Saccharomyces cerevisiae S288C: one gene and its partners. The gene in region 1 interacts genetically with each later gene. Each region holds a gene or a part of one and is shown on either strand. Other genes may lie near its edges.

Region 1 (4,548 bases):
TTGCTTGGAATATTCTTATTTACGGTTTGTGTTCTATATTTTGGATTTATTACAAGGTATTTTGGACATTTAATGATCGTTGGTATAATATGGGTATATCTTTTAATTGACAAGCACGTTCAAGAAACAATGGCATCTTGCCCTTCATTGGATGATATAATACACGTTATGGATAGGGTTTCTATGAAATCTAGCGCTGTGTTATCTCCTATTACGATTTTGAGCGCTCAGGATGTTAGAAGACTGTTATTTACCATTGCCTTCCTATCCCCAGTTTATATTTTTCTAACAGTGTTTGTGCTATCTCCAAACTATTTAATGTTAATAGGGGGTCTGTATGTGCTTACGTACCATTCTAAACTAATCCGAAGAATGAGAAGATACTTGTGGAAATTTCGCGTTGTTAGATTACTTGTATTTTTCATAACAGGATTAGACCTTGGTGGACCAGATAATAATAGGCGCTTGTTTGCTTCTGTCAATAAGAAAATAAGGTCCTTTGTTTGGAATGAGGTAGGGAACACATCTAACACTAAAAAGACTGTACTTTTCAAGGTTGCTCTGTTTGAAAACCAGCGCCGCTGGCTTGGCATCGGATGGACATCAACTATGTTGAGTTATGAGCGCGCATCTTGGACAGATGAATTCCTAAATACTTCTCCAAGCCCAGAAGTGTTTACTTTACCAGAGGAGCAGTCGGGAATGGCTTGGGAATGGCACGATAAAGATTGGATGCTTGACCTAACAAATGATGGGATCATTCAACTTCCTGCTTCTGCTGCTAAGACAAAAGTTAAGCCAGGTGCAGATGAAGGTTTCATATATTATGATAACACCTGGAATAATCCCTCTGCAACGGACACATATAAAAAGTACACAAGAAGAAGGAGGTGGATCAGGACTGCAACAGTAACAACAACGTATGACGATGAGCCCACTGTAGAAAAAGCTACACCGAATTCTCATGCTCTGAAGAGTGAAGAAAATAATAGAGTTAGAAAAAGAAAAGTGTCATTTAGTACAGCAAATGAAGTGCATATCATACCTTCCTCGGACAGTAGCAAATTAATACAAATATCTGATGTTTCAATGTCTCCTTCTCTATAATGAGTGCATGCCCCATATGGACAACAACGTTCACACTGGTCGGTGCAAGGGCACACAGCAATCTCAGAGTTTCTTTCATTGGCTGCATGGAGCACAAATTCAATCTTGTGCTTTAAAGTATCTGCGCGGTTATGGCAAGTTCTCCATCAGTCTCTTATTCCAGCAAGCATTCTTTTACGGAACTTCAATGCATCTAAATACATATGTACAGATAGCCAAAACTAATAGAGACATAATAAATTAAACAAAACTGTAAATTTTAAAAAGAGTATATATAGGGCTCAAGAAACTGCGTAAATATAAAATTAATGAAGAAAATCTGATTGTCAACTAAACGACATCTTCCATTTCTATTTCATCTTCCAAGTCAGCCTCCGCGTCTCCTTGCGCATTGTCTCCAGCGGAACCTGTTTGCTCATCAGCTAGTTCACCTAAGGTTGCCTTTCTCTCCTCCTCTTTCAACTTTTTATACTCTGGCCTTAAAGTGTATTTGAATGCATATGGGCCCTTCTTCACTAGAGTGGCAACTTTATCCAAACACTCCTTTAAATGTGCTTCAGGTTGCCTAGTACGTTCCTTCAACCCCTTCAAGGACCAGTAGTCATACTCATCAAATAACTTGAACAAGTAATCCAAGATTTCCTTCTTTGGCATACGAATAGATTTAATATTGCTCTTGGCCTTCTCACGCCCCACTTTCAAGAAATTCGAGTTGTCTGACCTCATGGACATACCTGTGTGGCTCATCGTAACACCAACGGTTTCATCCAAAGTTGTGATCCTTTCCTTATTATTAAGCTTGACAATATTTCTTCTCTGTTCAACAATCTTGTGATAATTAGGATCATTCATTGATGGCATAACCTGACATTCGTGGCAAACTGTACCCACAATGGCGGTTTTTTTGGGAATCGTCTTCACATATGGTATATATCTATCTCTACCATCCCTATCTGTCATAACTCTGTGATTAAACTTTTTTCTATTATTTCTACGTTTTTGCTGCTGCTGCTTCTTCTTAAGTTCCTCTTCACGTTCTTGCTTCTTCAGGTAAGCTTGCCTTTGCTTTTCAGGATCTGCTTCCAACTCCTTTTTACGTTGTTGATATTTCTTTAAATTTTGTTCTGTGAAAACATATTCATTTTCTACTACTTTCTTTGTAAGTTCTAAATCATATTCGTGCGGTATAGAATCGTTATCATTTTCATTCAATAGAAGTGTGATTTTACTCCCATCCTTGTTTATCCTAATTTTACCCAGTTCTTGGCCATGCAAGTTGTTTCTGTCCCTCCATTTCTCTGCTAGAAACATGGGCAATCTAACTAACCAGACTTGTCTATTACTACGTTCCAAGTCCAAATCTAAGGATTCTTCATAAACTTTGGTTTCATTATTCTCAATATCATTACCGTCAAAAACTTCCTCCTCTTGCGAAAGATACTCATCACCGGAAATGTTACCTGATTTCTCCTTCGCGACAGAGTTCGTGGAATTATTAGAAAGTGCTGGTGCCCCTGCTGAACCACTGCTCATGGTGTTAAGTTGGTCTTCTATTTTACTCTTAATATTGCGTTATGCGTTGAAGCCAACAGCATATGTCTTATTCTTCTAATTTCAAGCCTGATAATTTATTCATTTCGCGCAAGGGAAGATGAAAAAGTTAAGAAGAGAATCGACCTTTGGAAAGGGCCCCAATGGAAAGAACTTCAATGTTTTTTCCTCTACAAGTAATAAGAGCATAAAATGGACCTAGATCTAGCCAGTATCTTAAAAGGTGAAATTTCTAAGAAGAAGAAAGAGCTGGCCAACTCTAAAGGTGTTCAGCCACCATGCACTGAGAAATTCCAGCCACATGAATCCGCAAACATAGACGAAACACCGCGACAGGTAGAACAAGAAAGTACAGATGAAGAAAACCTGTCAGACAATCAGAGTGACGATATTAGGACCACCATTAGCAAATTAGAAAATCGGCCAGAAAGGATACAAGAAGCGATAGCTCAAGACAAAACCATCTCTGTAATCATTGATCCATCACAAATTGGTTCTACTGAAGGAAAACCTCTTTTGTCAATGAAATGTAATTTATATATTCACGAAATATTATCTCGTTGGAAGGCGTCTTTGGAAGCTTATCATCCGGAGCTGTTCTTAGACACTAAAAAAGCACTCTTTCCACTCCTACTGCAACTACGAAGGAACCAGCTTGCCCCGGATTTACTTATTTCCCTTGCGACCGTTCTCTATCATTTACAACAACCTAAAGAAATAAATTTAGCCGTTCAGTCCTATATGAAACTCAGTATCGGCAATGTGGCCTGGCCTATTGGTGTTACTAGCGTAGGCATTCATGCTCGTAGTGCACATTCGAAAATTCAAGGAGGCCGGAATGCTGCTAACATAATGATTGATGAAAGAACGCGATTATGGATTACCAGTATTAAAAGATTAATAACTTTTGAAGAATGGTATACCAGCAACCACGATAGCTTAGCCTAATTGTTGAACTATTGTTTTCGTTATCGCGTGGCACGATATCATGCGGCCAAAATAAGAAGCAAGAATGCAGATGTTGATAGCCTTTGTTCAATTTTCCAGAGACAAATGCTTTACAGGATCGGGACTTGAAATATACTGACTGGATGACGGTAAACTTAGATCCGGATAAAGTTTGGATAGACGGCTGCTTTGATTTCACACATCATGGGCATGCGGGAGCCATTTTGCAGGCTCGTCGAACAGTTTCAAAAGAAAATGGTAAACTATTCTGTGGTGTGCATACCGATGAAGATATTCAGCATAACAAAGGAACACCAGTAATGAACTCTTCAGAAAGATATGAGCATACTAGATCAAATAGGTGGTGTTCGGAAGTGGTTGAAGCGGCGCCATATGTTACAGATCCCAATTGGATGGATAAATATCAGTGCCAATATGTTGTTCATGGTGATGATATCACCATAGATGCTAATGGAGAAGACTGCTATAAGTTGGTGAAAGAGATGGGGCGCTTCAAGGTAGTTAAAAGAACATATGGCGTAAGTACTACCGAGATTATACATAGAATATTGACGAAAAAATCTTTGCCACCGACTCATCCTGATTATTATCCCACCACCCAGGAATTGAGTTTCTATTCTGTCGCCCAAGATGCCGTTTCAAAACATTGTTATGTCTTTCAGAGGGATTTGGACAATGTCTTGGTCAATGGTGGATACAAATTCGATGCAGAAGATTGTGTTTATGTTGACGGGGATTTTGACTTATTCCATATGGGGGATATTGATCAGTTAAGAAAGCTGAAAATGGATCTTCACCCCGATAAGAAATTGATTGTTGGTATTACCACAAGCGATTACTCGAGTACCATTATGACGATGAAGGAACGCGTCTTGAGCGTTTTAAGTTGTAAATATGTTGATGCCGTTATTATCGATGCTG
Region 2 (4,979 bases), on another chromosome or scaffold:
GCTGAAAGCTTCTTAGTTCTGTCGGATCCATTATATTATCATTATTTACGAAACTAGTGCTATGGGTGGCGAACGTGGTGGGCGTTACCTTTTAAAGTCCTAATGGAAACCTACCTATGCATAAAGTGAATAGAGTGGCAATAAAAGTCGAATAATAGTACAAATACGCAAAAATATGAGTACGGACGTTGCTGCTGCACAAGCCCAAAGTAAAATAGATTTAACAAAAAAAAAAAATGAGGAAATAAATAAGAAGTCTCTAGAGGAAGACGATGAATTTGAAGATTTCCCCATTGACACATGGGCCAATGGTGAAACAATAAAAAGCAATGCTGTAACGCAAACAAACATATGGGAAGAAAACTGGGATGATGTTGAAGTTGACGACGATTTCACCAATGAATTGAAGGCCGAATTGGATAGATACAAACGGGAAAATCAGTGAGGGGCTACATAACATTATTTCTAAATAACGCAAAAGGAAATTATACGTCTAATGTTACTTTAGTACATTGTTGTCATACTAGTATATTTTGCTTAGATGATAAAATAAATAATAAAAAGAGATACGAAAGGCTATGCGGTAGTCGATTATATGGCCTTGTAGTATAATAATGATGCACGCAAAGTATTAAATAACTCAGCTGAGATTTCTCATTTCTTTAAATGCAGTCTCAGTTTAAAAAATTAACTATATTAAGATCCGCTCTTTCTACCATATGATGCAAATGTGTCCTCGAACTAGTACTTGCAATTTCAGGTAACCCCAATCGTTTCTTTATTATTGTCATTTTTACTATCATAATAATATCATCCGTAATAACAATTAAGTAACAAATCACATCCATGTAACCATTTAATTTGTTTCAAGTAACATTCCGAGTGAATAGCTAGTCACATACATATATCTTACCTGCCGCTCCGCTGCAAATGACTTTACTTGTTTCTTGAGGATGCCAGTCCACTTGAGTTATAGGCTTGTTGCCTGGAATCTTGATGTTATTTAATAAGCGCGACGTATTCCAATCCCAAGTAAATAGTCTGCTTTTTGAATCGCCTGAACATATGTAACGACCATCACCAGAAAAAGCCAAGCTTATCCCATAACCAGCAGATGAATGCCCTTTAAATATCTTTTTTGGATGCCTCTTATATTTGGGTTTCAAACTGAAAGAATATATTCTATTATCCATGCTTTGTGCACAGAAATAGTTCTGAGACGGATGTACATTTAAAAATGGCATAGAATGTTGAGCCGTGTCACTTATTTGTTTTATTGGTACATTGATCTGATTTTCCCAAATTCTTACCGTCTTATCCTCTGAAGAAGAAATAAACTTCGAACCATCGGGAAAATACTTGAGAGCCAGAATGCTACTTAGGTGATGATCATATGTCTGCACAAGACCTTGATTTTCTGAAACACGATCATCATAATGTAATATTTTCGAATTCGATAAACCTACAATGAACTCATGTGGGTTAGTGGGCCGAGATTCAACATCTGCAGGCGTTGAATTAAGGTGCAACCTGGTTTTCACTTTACCAGTTTCAGTATCCCAAATTTTAACGCTTCTATCAAAGGAAGAGCTCAAAAAAGATTGACAGTCTTCGGTGAATCGTAATGCTTTAATAGGCTTGTTATGACCTTGAAAATCTCGTAGGCATTCATAGTCATGGTAGAAATCCCAAATTTTTATAGTATGATCATTACCACCAGAGAGAATTAAGTGTCCAGTTTTAGGTAAGAATTTCAGGGCAGTGGTTCCTTCTGGATGCCCCGGATAATTACGTATAACTTTTTTTGGTAAGTAACACCGAAAGGATATCCTTTCCTCACGAAGATCAACATCGACGTCATTTGGTGGATATAAATATCCTCTGCCTTGATAGTCCTTTTCTGATTTACCATAAAAATGGGAGACTTCCTCTACCTCTATCTGTTCCGAATCTAGGTTGTCCTCAGCCAGCGCGTGCACGAAGATATCCTGATCTTCTTTCTGAGTTTCGCTGGCTTGTGAAGTTTCATCGTCACTACTTGACCAACTGCCCCACGGCCCATCTCCTTTGCGAGTTTTCCGTCTTCTTTTTAGTTCTGACTTTGTAAAATGTGATTTTCTCTTATGAATATTATTTGAAGAAGGTTCATACGAAGTATCTTCATGCAAATTACCATTTTTCTTTTCATGAACAGATTTGCCTTCGTCGAAGTTCAAATCAGAGTCTGAGCTTGTGTCATAACCGTCTACTAAACCCATTTCATCTGCTCTTCAAAGTACATGCCGTGTTTGTTGCACTATTTGGCCAAAAATAAAGGAAAAATTTCAAGATTTTTTTTTTACCTCATCTCTAGCAAGGACACAGTACTCCCTCGTAAATAAGACAAAATACAAAAAAGAAAATTCAAAGAAATGGTATTACAAGAACCGGTCAGAGAAACATTACGATAATTGATATCAACTACAAATCCAATGATGCATTCTTTATAATTGTACATATCTATTTGTATTCAAGTTTCATTTAAATACTATTTCATTGACTGCTTTAAACCTTTACCTTCTTGGATGATTTGCTTTTCTTTTTCAACTTGTTTACCAAGTTACCAATATCTTCATTATCATCTGCGTTATTGGTCATATTGTTTTCACTACCGCCAAGTTTTCTTTTCTTATTCTTAACACGTTTACTACGTTCTTTTAGGATTTTACTCATAGCTTGTGTACCTTTGAATTCAGGCTGGGTCGGGTCGATAGCAAAATCGTGATCTTCGAAGACTTCTTTAAATCTAGGATCTTCTAAATCAGGTGTAAAGGTGTCTTCAACAATTCTCTCTTTCTTTTGATACCGGCCTTTCTTGTGTTTTTCTTTTTCTGATCTTAAGATTTCGTTCATGTTGAAATGTGCTTTGTTATTTATTGTGCCCTGAGTTTCGGTATCATCATCATCATCCATTAAAAGCTCCAATTCAGCCTTTGATTTGGCATTCTTTTCGATCTCCTCTTCATCGTTAGTATGCTTTTTATTAACAGATTTCAACTTGCTTTTCTTATCCTTCTCCGACTGCTGTTTCAATTCCTTTACTTTCTGCTTTCTTGCTTTACGACGTTCCTTCTCTTTTCTTCTTATTTTCTCTATAGTCGTTTCTTCTTTGTCTTCCGACGATTTCTCGTTTCCTCCTTCCAAGGCTGGAGTAAATGTAATTTCCATATCAACTTCTTCATCTTCATCGTTAGGGGTTTCTTTCTTGGAATTAAACCCAAAGTCACCAACCAACGACTTTAGTTTATTTTTCGCCTCTTCATCGACCTGCCCATCCGATTCATCACTATCTGACGCCAAGTAAGCCTTAAAGTCCATATCATCAATTTCCTTTTGGGTAAAGGCCCTCTTAGCAACTTCGACCCTATCAGCTGGCGTTTCATCCCAGGTCAATTTGACGCTTGAATGTTGTAGAGCATCTGTGCTAAACTGGTGTGGCCTATAGTTCTTAGGCAATATACTGCATTCATCTCTTACATCATCATCAAAAGTCATACCATCAGGAACATACCTTAAATCGAACATATTAGCGGTTGACTCATATTCGGTACCATCACAGTTATCATAGATAGCTTTGGAGGTGGTTGTATCACTACAATAAACTATTGCGTAATAATATCTTAATCTGTCCAACTGGTATTGACGTAAAGCTCTGGAATCCACGTCCTTGTCAGCATCTCCCTCTTCATAAAGATCCTTAATACCGATGTCCATATCAGAATCAGAGTCATCAGTTTTCTTCTTTTTGGAGGTTTTGTTCTTATTTTTCTTTTGGAAAAGTTCCTTTGGAGGTCCTTCAACTTCCTCGCGTTGCATTCTTTCTTTACCAAATTCACTTGGATAAATAGCAACTCTTTCAATTTTACCACCTTTAGGAACGAAACTGGAAAAGGTAATCATCAAATCCTCAGATTTAACATGGTCCCAATCTAAATTTACGACGGCCAAATTCTTAGAGATGTCACCAGATTCTGGTTTGGCATTTTCAATTTCTACTTCATTTTCTTCTTCGCTTTCAACTTCACTTTCTCCGGACGATTCAGAATCAGAAGAAGTGAATTCATCAGAAGAGCTAACATAATCATCAGGAACTTCACCACGGGCACGGTCCACTACTGTTTTCGCATTAACTTCTGAATCTTCATCATTTTCTGCTTCCTTTTCGAAATATTTGTCGAAATCTTCCAATTCCCTGTTATTCTGCGCATTTTTGATCTTTCTACCATACTTGTCAACCTTAGATTTATGCTGGACCTCCAGATCCTTCTTACTGAACCTAGAATCTAACTTGATCTTATGATCTTTGGTTTTCGTGTTCTTAAATTTAGGATCGCTGTAGATCCCGGCAAACCTAGCATCTACACCTTCCTTCTTTGGGTTCTCTCCAGCCATCTTCAATTTTTCTTGCAACCTTATACGATCCGCTGAAATGTCTTGAAAAATATTCCGGACCCACAGTTATGTGATATTTATTATTTGTACCATTATGCTAATGATGAATTTGAGATGAGATGAGATGAAATTTTTTCTGTAACTGAAAAATTTCGGAACGTCAATAATGATCGGTAGCCTCATCTGGGATATTTGGCCCGGCTCATATTGCTAATCTTTGGATATAGGGCTATTAGCAGATTTCAATCGTCCTCTCTTGGCATAGTAGACACAGAGTTGTATTTGCGCTTCTGAGCGATGCTTCCGAGATTGTTGAAGCATGTTGGAATAGAAATCAACTATCATCTACTAACTAGTATTTACATTACTAGTATATTATCATATACGGTGTTAGAAGATGACGCAAATGATGAGAAATAGTCATCTAAATTAGTGGAAGCTGAAACGCAAGGATTGATAATGTAATAGGATCAATGAATATAAACATATAAAATGATGATAATAATATTTATAGAATTGTGTAGAATTGCAGATTCCCTTTTATGGAT
Region 3 (4,821 bases), on another chromosome or scaffold:
TACATTTTTTTCTTTAATGTGACGGCACTTTTGGATCTGGATCTTAAAGAGGTTAACGAGTCCAATGACCAATCCATCCTTACATCCCAAAATAACGTATAGGAAGAATTAATTAGCATAAACCATCTTTGAACGTGGTGTAGTCTTTCTTCGTTGATGGATCCCTCATACACTCTTGATCTCCAGGTGCAAAAAAGAATGGGAAGATTACAACTGTATTTCAATGCATTGAATAGTAAAGTTGCTTCGTGCAGTAAACGGTATTCTCTCAAACACTGCAGTAGTCTTACCAGTACAGGAAGAAGGGCTACGGATAGATCAAAATGTGTGAAGGGTTCTCTAAAAATTAGAGAGGTAAACAATGTGAAGTCTATCAATGGTTTTGCAAACGATGTCAACGTGTCAGAGATTAAAATGTAGGTATTCCTTAAGGAACGGGGGGAGGATTCTATCAACAAACATCTCCTAGTACAATATTTTATTATCTGGCACTCTTTCAACAGAAACCAAAATATAGTGACACATTGGATCAATGGTAGAAAATATACGATGAGAATGATATTTTTGAGTGGACCTTCTATAATATTCATGAACTCAAAAAGGAACACAGTGGCAAAGTGGAACGGTATAATAATCCTTGTTATCTTCAAAGCAAAATTTCTAGCTGTTCTATGCAATTGCTGTAGAGTATAACCTGGACGTATATCGTGCGGTACTCTCGTGAGTATGACTTGGGATACGTCTAAATTACTATGCAAGAAGAATTTTAATATCCATGTCCAGATCCAAAGGGCAAGTATTATGAGCACAATAAATCGCTGCGGAGGGGGAACATTTAATATATTTTGGAGATAAAGTCCTTCAGAATTACTTTCGCTTTTCTCCATATTTTGCGGCCCAACTTGTTGCAGAATTGAAAACTTTGTATAATACTAATAATAATTTATAATAATAACAATAATAATTTATAACAATAATAACAATGCCAAACAATTTATATGGGTAACCAGTTTTTGGTACTGTTTGCCATCAATATTGCGACTAAATCGGGAGCGGTTAGCGCTGGCTTGCACTTTTTGCAACTGACTCTATTTCTTTCATTGATTATGTTATTTTCAGATGACGAAATACGCCAAAAAAATTCGGGAAATAAATACTAGCGTGATATCGGTTTAGGTATATTACAAAAGAACACCAAGGTAAGGCATCATTAGTTATGTATGCATATTACTGACTTTTACCAAGCGGACCATGACCCGAGTTCAATGATTACCCCTAATACAATTTTTGTGTGTTCCGCCATATGAGCGAGACTTAATCTGTCCAAAGTATCCATGGTGCTGTGAATATACTTGTTAGTCTTTTTGAACTCACTTTCAATCACGAAGGAGCCTGGAAATCCGTTTCTGGTGGCACTCCCATGATCGCTACAAGCATAGCCACATTGTGTATCCCTGTAAGGAATGGATAGATAAGAGTTGATAATTAGTTTTATAAAATCAGTTAATGCGGGAGTAGTGTAGTCGGTGACAATCCCCACATGTTCATCTTCTGGATCAGAAACATATCCCGTCATGTCTTGCTGAAGCATCGCTCTCACATGCTTTTTCTGTTTGGCATAAGCTGTAAAAACATCAAGAGAACCCAACAATCCCCCCTCTTCGGCGGAATAAAAGTGAAATTCCACAGTGTTGTTAGGTCTAAATCCTCTCTTCAAAAAATTTTCCGTATATAATCTGAGAGCCTCCATATTAGTCACCGTGCCTGACCCATTGTCGTCCGCACCTGGAGCTGCCATTATGGATGGCAGTAGCAGATTGATAGAATCTTGATGAGAACCAATTATTATAATATCTTCTGGCGTAGTAGATCCCGTGACACGGACTATAATTGAATATTGCTTCCATTCTTTGTGATCAAAATGTTCAATAGTCAACGTATCTTGCGGAATATCTTTTGTAATATTAGCGATAGTTGCAGCTAACCACTCGGCAGATTCAAAGCCGTGATCGGACTTGTAGTAACGGGTGTAAAAACTTGTAAACTTTGCCAAGTTCTTGTGCATAGAGCCCTTGTCTATATTCTTAATCGAATCATCCACTACTTCTTTGTTCGATATCTCAGGAGGATAGTTATACGTTGGTACTGTTGGCTCTTCCTCCTTGTTAAAGAAAGGTAAGAAAGAAGTGTGTTTGGTCACATCAAAGAATTTGACACCTCTTCTTCGTAAGTTTAGCTTTTCTGATTCGGGAACCTCCATTACCTCATTCTCTCCTACTTGTAAAACCCTTAAAGGCTCATATGGATATGACCATGCGATGATGGCAACATTAAATAAAACAAAAAGCGACTGTATCCTCATATTGTGCTAATCAGCGGTTGATTATGTTACTTACTTTTTCGAATAAAGATTTTGTATTTCTTTAGCTTCGAAGATTGATAATTATTGAATATCAAGTTTCAGTTTACTATAGCGGTCCGAACATATGAAAGATTTTAGTAAAGACGCTGGCAAGCTTTTCAGTCAAAATAATACAAAAGGAAATAGATAGAAAAAAAGGAAATAATCAGGCCTCCATATTGGACTCAACTATCCTTCAGTACCGCAAAACTTATTGTGTCCATATATCCTATGTCAGCATACATCGCAATGAAAGGAGTAATAACAAACGTCGATGAGAACATAAGAAATGATGAAGATGTGGCTTTTGAGTACGAAATACAAAAGACACCGCAGAACATACTTACATGGAAAAGATATATCGAGTATTGGAAAGAGGAGGGAAGAACTGACAAACAGATTAGGTGGCTATATGAAAGATTTTGTTCACAATTTGTAACAGATACAAGTATATGGGAAGATTATATACGCTGGGAATCAACAAAGGAAGTAGTCGAAACTTCACGTATTTTCTGGCTTTTTCAAAGGTGCCTGAAAAGCTGTGTACGAGATTGTGACAGGATATGTTTGTCTTATTTAGAATTGGCAATTGAACAATATGACTTGGCAATGATAAGGCATGCCTTAGCTTCATCTTTAATGAAAATGGAGAGAGAAATGCATCGGAAAGTTTGGGATCCTGTCATAAAATTTGTGGAAGAAAAAGTTTTACCATTAACGCAACTGGATTCAACTCAAGAAGATGAAGAAGAAAGTACTGATGAAGCTGAATTGATAAATGTACTTTTAGTGAAGGGTTTCACGAAGGGAGGTTTTATTAGCGAGGAAATTAGTGAAAACGGAAGTAGAGGTGATATTTGGTCGTCACATATTTTAGAAAGATACTTAAAAGTGGCTCCTCAGCAAAAACGAAATGAATCGCTGGCAACTCTTGCATTAACTAGAGACAATATTACCATCAAATCAGTATATGAAAAGTATTTGCCACAAGATGAAAATAGTGGGAAGTATCTACCTAGTTCAGAACTGCCTTTTGAATTAAATTTCAATTATTTGGCCAGCCTAGAAAAACTAGGTTTAGATAATCAATATGAGGAGTTCATGAGGCAAATGAATGGCATATATCCCGACAAATGGCTTTTTTTGATCCTATCACTTGCCAAATATTATATCTCTCGCGGGAGGCTTGACAGTTGTGGTGATTTATTGAAGAAAAGTTTACAGCAAACACTTAGGTACAGTGATTTTGATCGCATCTATAATTTCTATTTGCTATTTGAGCAAGAGTGCTCCCAATTTATTCTGGGAAAGCTAAAGGAAAATGACAGCAAATTCTTTAATCAAAAAGATTGGACTGAAAAGTTACAAGCTCATATGGCGACATTTGAATCTTTAATCAACTTATATGATATCTATTTGAACGATGTCGCACTAAGGCAAGATTCCAACTTGGTGGAAACGTGGATGAAAAGAGTGTCCTTGCAGAAGTCAGCAGCGGAAAAGTGTAATGTGTATTCAGAAGCTATACTGAAAATTGATCCCCGAAAAGTTGGTACGCCTGGCTCTTTCGGTAGGCTTTGGTGTTCGTATGGGGATTTGTATTGGAGATCAAACGCAATTAGTACAGCTAGAGAATTGTGGACACAATCTCTGAAGGTACCGTATCCTTATATAGAAGATCTGGAAGAAATTTACCTAAACTGGGCTGATAGAGAATTAGATAAAGAAGGGGTGGAAAGAGCTTTTTCTATCCTTGAAGATGCATTACATGTGCCAACAAATCCAGAAATTCTCCTCGAAAAATATAAGAATGGACACAGAAAAATACCTGCTCAAACTGTTCTATTCAACTCATTACGTATTTGGTCCAAATACATTGATTATCTAGAGGCTTACTGCCCAAAGGATGCAAATTCCTCCGATAAAATATTCAATAAGACAAAAATGGCATACAATACTGTTATTGATTTGAGATTGATCACTCCAGCAATGGCAGAAAATTTTGCATTGTTCTTACAAAATCATTACGAAGTCATGGAAAGTTTTCAGGTGTATGAGAAAACAATCCCTCTGTTTCCCCCCGAAATCCAATACGAATTATGGATTGAGTATCTAGAAGTAGCGACATCACATCAATTGTCATCACTGAGTCCTGAACATATTAGATTTTTGTTTGAGAAAGCACTTAAGAATCTATGTTCAAATGGTATAGACTGTAAAACAATTTTTATCGCTTATAGCGTATTTGAAGAAAGGATAAGTGGTCTGATTAGCAAGAGTATTGAGATATTACGTAGAGGTGCTGTAATAGGTACTGTTAGTGTGAGCACGCACCTCGAAAGTAGACTGCAACTGTGGAGAATGTGTATTTCCAAGGCCGAGTCTACTTTGGGACCATCAGTAACCAGAGAGTTGTACCA
Region 4 (4,323 bases), on another chromosome or scaffold:
AATAAAATGACGTAAAATAGTCTACCTAGTCCAAACAGTACCATATCCCCTCTATATCAAAGTTTTCTCTTCCAAAAGGCTTCTTTTGTGAGTTCTTTCCTATTAATAGGTTTGAGTATATAAACCGCCAACTTATTGAGAAGGCTCCCAGTCCAGCTAATTTTTTGGATATACTGTACTTAAATGTAATCACGTGACTGTGACAAATGAAAAGACTGTGCAATGATCACGAAAGACAAATTTCGAGACATTACGAGCACTATGAGATTAAATGTAGAGAAGATGGATTACGGGGGTATTTTTACTTTTCTGATGATGCAATCTGAAGCACTTAGCCAACAATATTCTGTACCATTTTTCCGAGATTTTCTATTACGAAATGAATCCACGGATCTCTTAAAATTATTGATTATATTTTTTATTGGAAAAAGATACACATATTTATATATAGAAAACTAAACAATCCGTAAAAATGATTTAACGTTTTGAAGTTAGTTTGCTTAATCGGCGTTACGACGAGCAACCTTCTTAGCCAATCTCTTACCAGTACCGAAGATCTTCTTGTCTCTGTTCTTCTTTTGCTTTCTTTGTTGTCTGGAAGCCTTTTCAACCTTTTCAGCCAAACCGTATCTGACTAATCTGTAAGTTGGTTCGAACTTCTTAGCTTCGGCAACAGAGTTGTAGACCAAACCGAAACCAACAGACTTACCACCACCAAATTGGGTTCTGAAACCGAAAACGGAGACAGCGTCCTTTTCAGCCTTGTAGACTTCAGCTAATTTTTCACGCAATTCATCCTTGGAGACATTAGCTCTGTTTGGGTGCAAGACGTCGACGACGAATTGCTTTCTGGCCAACAATGGGTTGGAGATAACCTTTCTAGTACGGATAGTAACAGCGTCAGACTGAGAAAAAACAATTTAGGTAAAAAACCATTTTAAAAATTGTTAGTAAAATAGGTTCCAGTGTGGGGGAAATCTTTGGAAATGGCGTCCTTGAAAGATCCTTCCAGTTTTCATGATAGGGATAATAGTCCAAAAAAGGTTCCTGTAGCATAATGGTTAGCTAGATATCATTTTTTAGCGTTGAACTCTTAAAGCGGGATAAAATATTACGGGTCAGCTATTCGAGTGTTTAAATTTGAGTTATAAATTTAACCAATTACGATACGGATTTCACATTTCTTTTCACAATGATTGCCATTAATATATTAGCCAATAGTTGCTGTTACGCCACCTTAAATTTGCAAAACATTTCTTCTTTTACTTTCTTTTCTCGTTATGGTACCTTTATTGCCTTTTATACTAACTCATGGCAACTTTAACATGGAATATGGGACGTCATCTTTCATCTGAGCACTTTTTAACATACCATTTCTGCTTAATCTATGTTGGTTTCTTGAAATCTTTGTTTTGAACTAATACCTAACCATCCTCTAGCTCTTGAAATTCACTATAGTTATTCAATTCTTCTTCGCTGAGACAAAGTTAAAGCGCTGGGTGGACAACCGAGTGAAACTTCCTTCCAAAGGAAGCAGCCTTCTGGAGTATTCCGTTAGTGACTGCGTGGCCCCGCCTACAGGACGCTTAGGTGATGAATACTCGCCGAGGCGTAGGCTGCGGCATCGGACAATCATATTTTATGACAGTGGAAGAAGCGCAAGAAATGAAAAGAAAGTTGTAGGATGTGTGGGCTTGTAAATGTGTGGGTGTACAGTCCCGATATTGGCATACATTATCACATCGATAGAGTTTTCTGTTTATATATCTCTCTGGCACTTGTATCTACCTATAAAGATGAAATTTTGAAAAACAGAACTAGTGAGCAATTTGATCAATGAAACGAATTTGATTACTATATATTTCAATATACAATATCACCAAAAAAAAAAAAAAAAGTAAAGAAGGTAATTTCTCACCTATGCTTAAGAATGTAAATACATTGTTCATTAATGTTTATCACGTTATTATTTTTTTGTTTTGTTTTTTTTTTTTTGAATATATCCTTGTTAGATTTTATCTGTATGTCACGAGGCATTTTTCATTATTCTATAATGTTTATCATACATACCTTCAATGAGCAGTCAACTCGGGCCTGAGTTACTTCAACGAATTGGCTTGTCAATGGCAATTCTGACAGATTTTGTTTGAGTGTAGTTACTTAAAGCAGCCTCACCCATTTCACGGCCAATACCTGACTGGCCGAAGCCACCGAAAGGAACATTTTGGTGGAAGTTGTTATAGGTATTTATCCAAACAGTACCAGCTTTCACTCTTTTGGACACATCAACAGCCTTGTTAATATCGTTAGTGTGAATACCTGCGGCTAACCCATATTGAGAATCATTTGCCATAGCAATCACTTCATCAACAGTAGAAAACTTGGATACAGTTACAATGGGACCAAACACTTCCTCCTTAACAATTCTCATATCTTCTTTGACATCAGCAAACACTGTTGGCTTGACAAAATAACCTTTACTGCCATGTCTGGCCCCTCCAGTCACAAGACGAGCCCCCTCTGATTTTGCTACATCGACATAGTCTAAAATTTTATGCAGCTGTTTGTCAGATGTTTGAGCACCTTGGAAAACTTCCTCATCAAATGGGTCACCGACCTTTAGTGACTCGGTGTAATCCTTTAGTTTTTGCAACACCTCCTCGTATACTGTATCTTGAATGTATATTCTGGAACCAGCGCAGCAAACTTCACCAGAGTTGTAAAAAATACCGAAGGCAATGTTCTTGACGGCTTTATCTAGATCAGCGTCAGCAAACACAATATTTGGTGATTTACCTCCCAGCTCCAAAGTGACTTTCTTGACAGTATCGGCAGCGACCTTCATAATATGGCGGCCGGTGGCAGTAGAGCCTGTAAAAGCAATCTTCTTCACGTCTGGGTGTGCACTCAATCTTTCTCCAACAACTCTACCGGAACCCGGAAGGATATTGACTACACCAGCGGGTATGCCTGCTTCCTGACACAACTGGGAAGCGAAAAGGGCAGATAAAGGTGTTGTTTCAGCGGGTTTCAATACGACGGTGTTACCTGTAGCCAGAGCAGGCCCAATTTTCCATGACCACATCAATAAAGGGAAGTTCCAAGGGATTATTTGGCCGCAAACGCCTAATGGTTCCTTAATTGAGTAGGTAAAATGGTTTTTACCTGTGTCAATAACGTTACCGTAGATTTTATCTGCCCAACCACCGCAAGAACGCAAGTATTTAGATACTAAAGCGACGTCACCGCGCGCACAAAACAATGACTTACCATTATCCATTGACTCAATGGCAGCCAGTGTTTCTTGGTGTTTCTCAACCAAGTCAGCGAGATTGAATAAAGCTTTAGCGCGAACCTCCGGCTCTACAATAGACCACTTCGTTTCAAAAGCTTTTTTAGCCGCTGCAACGGCTTCATCAACATCATCTTCCATAGCCTTGTATACAGTTGTTATCTTTTCTTCGTTAGATGGATTGATCACGTCAAACGTTTTCTTTTGCTTCGAGGCAACAAATTCACCATTGATGAATAACCCTGTTGGCTGTTCGTAGGTGAAACCATTTGGAAGAGTAATTGGAACGCGTAATGGTGCTTGAGAATAAAGACGTAACAAGCTTCTAGTGAATATTCTGGAATTCGGAGCTGCAGCTCTTGTGCGAGAAAGCATTTCTTCTTCTTTGGCTTTTTGTTAATGTTGTGAAGAAGTTTTCTGTCTTAACCACGTTTGATGAGACACTTATCGTATTGTTATATATGCTAAAAATGTCAAGAAGTCCTAAATTCAAAATAAATTAAGACGTTCTTTTTACATGGGGCTTATATAATCGTGTTTTGTTCTGTTCTTTGAAGCCATTCTCATCGAAAAACTCTAACAATCTGCGTAGTGATGAGTCAGAAGTCTTCCAACATTTTTAACGATACACAACCCCTCTCAGTTTGTGAAAAAAAAAAGAAAGAGAATAGCTTCCATCTTTTGGCGCCTTAAGCGGTATTCTAAAGGCTCCGCGAGCGAGCCTCTTTAACCTAATGCAAAAAAAAATTGTTACGCACGTTCCCGGCTTTTACCGTAATAGTAGTCAAGAGCTTAACTCTACGGCTAACAAGCGCTTGGTTGTACTACGCTCAGCGTACCATTAGGCCCTTGCTAGTCCGGTAGCGGCCAAAAAAAAAAATGGAACCCTTTTTGTATACTTATTTATCATTGATGTGTAAACGGCTTCTTAGGCTTACATAGCCACAAGAGAAAAGAAAGATGCCTCATCGAAATTAAAATTTTTTTATAGCGCTTGATATCTAGTGAAAGGGGCTGATTTTCAACTTGAT

The links.
Region 2: mutations in PRP18 (region 1) and CDC40 are lethal when combined (synthetic lethality), as found in Saccharomyces cerevisiae (5 studies listed by BioGRID, with this or other methods).
Region 3: mutations in PRP18 (region 1) and YDR415C together harm fitness more than expected from each alone (negative genetic interaction), as found in Saccharomyces cerevisiae (2 studies listed by BioGRID).
Region 4: mutations in PRP18 (region 1) and RPS24A together harm fitness more than expected from each alone (negative genetic interaction), as found in Saccharomyces cerevisiae (2 studies listed by BioGRID).

The regions. Positions count from the first base shown.
Region 1 is NC_001139.9:503,220-507,767, forward strand, and holds PRP18 (mRNA splicing protein PRP18), read left to right. Parts: upstream 1-2,850; coding exon 2,851-3,606; downstream 3,607-4,548. Other genes in the region: PEX31 (peroxisome biogenesis protein), read left to right, coding at 1-1,107; transcription factor IIF subunit TFG2, read right to left, coding at 1,438-2,640; ECT1 (ethanolamine-phosphate cytidylyltransferase), read left to right, coding at 3,750-4,548. UniProt on the Saccharomyces cerevisiae protein: Component of the U4/U5/U6 snRNP, binding principally to the u5 snRNP. It is not absolutely required for the second step of pre-mRNA splicing at low temperatures but is required at higher temperatures.
Region 2 is NC_001136.10:1,201,953-1,206,931, forward strand, and holds CDC40 (Cdc40p), read right to left. Parts: upstream 2,259-4,979; coding exon 891-2,258; downstream 1-890. Other genes in the region: proteasome regulatory particle lid subunit SEM1, read left to right, coding at 176-445; pre-rRNA-processing protein ESF1, read right to left, coding at 2,545-4,431. UniProt on the Saccharomyces cerevisiae protein: May function in the second step of pre-mRNA splicing. Regulatory protein involved in replication and mitotic spindle formation and/or maintenance. Required for initiation and completion of S-phase and for initiation and completion of DNA replication.
Region 3 is NC_001136.10:1,295,800-1,300,620, forward strand, and holds YDR415C (putative aminopeptidase), read right to left. Parts: upstream 2,363-4,821; coding exon 1,238-2,362; downstream 1-1,237. Other genes in the region: ERD1 (Erd1p), read right to left, coding at 1-887; mRNA splicing protein SYF1, read left to right, coding at 2,633-4,821.
Region 4 is NC_001137.3:303,374-307,696, reverse strand, and holds RPS24A (40S ribosomal protein eS24 RPS24A), read right to left. Parts: upstream 1,375-4,323; coding exon 1,372-1,374; intron 906-1,371; coding exon 501-905; downstream 1-500. Other genes in the region: YOS1 (Yos1p), read right to left, coding at 1-44; aldehyde dehydrogenase (NAD(P)(+)) ALD5, read right to left, coding at 2,105-3,667. UniProt on the Saccharomyces cerevisiae protein: Component of the ribosome, a large ribonucleoprotein complex responsible for the synthesis of proteins in the cell.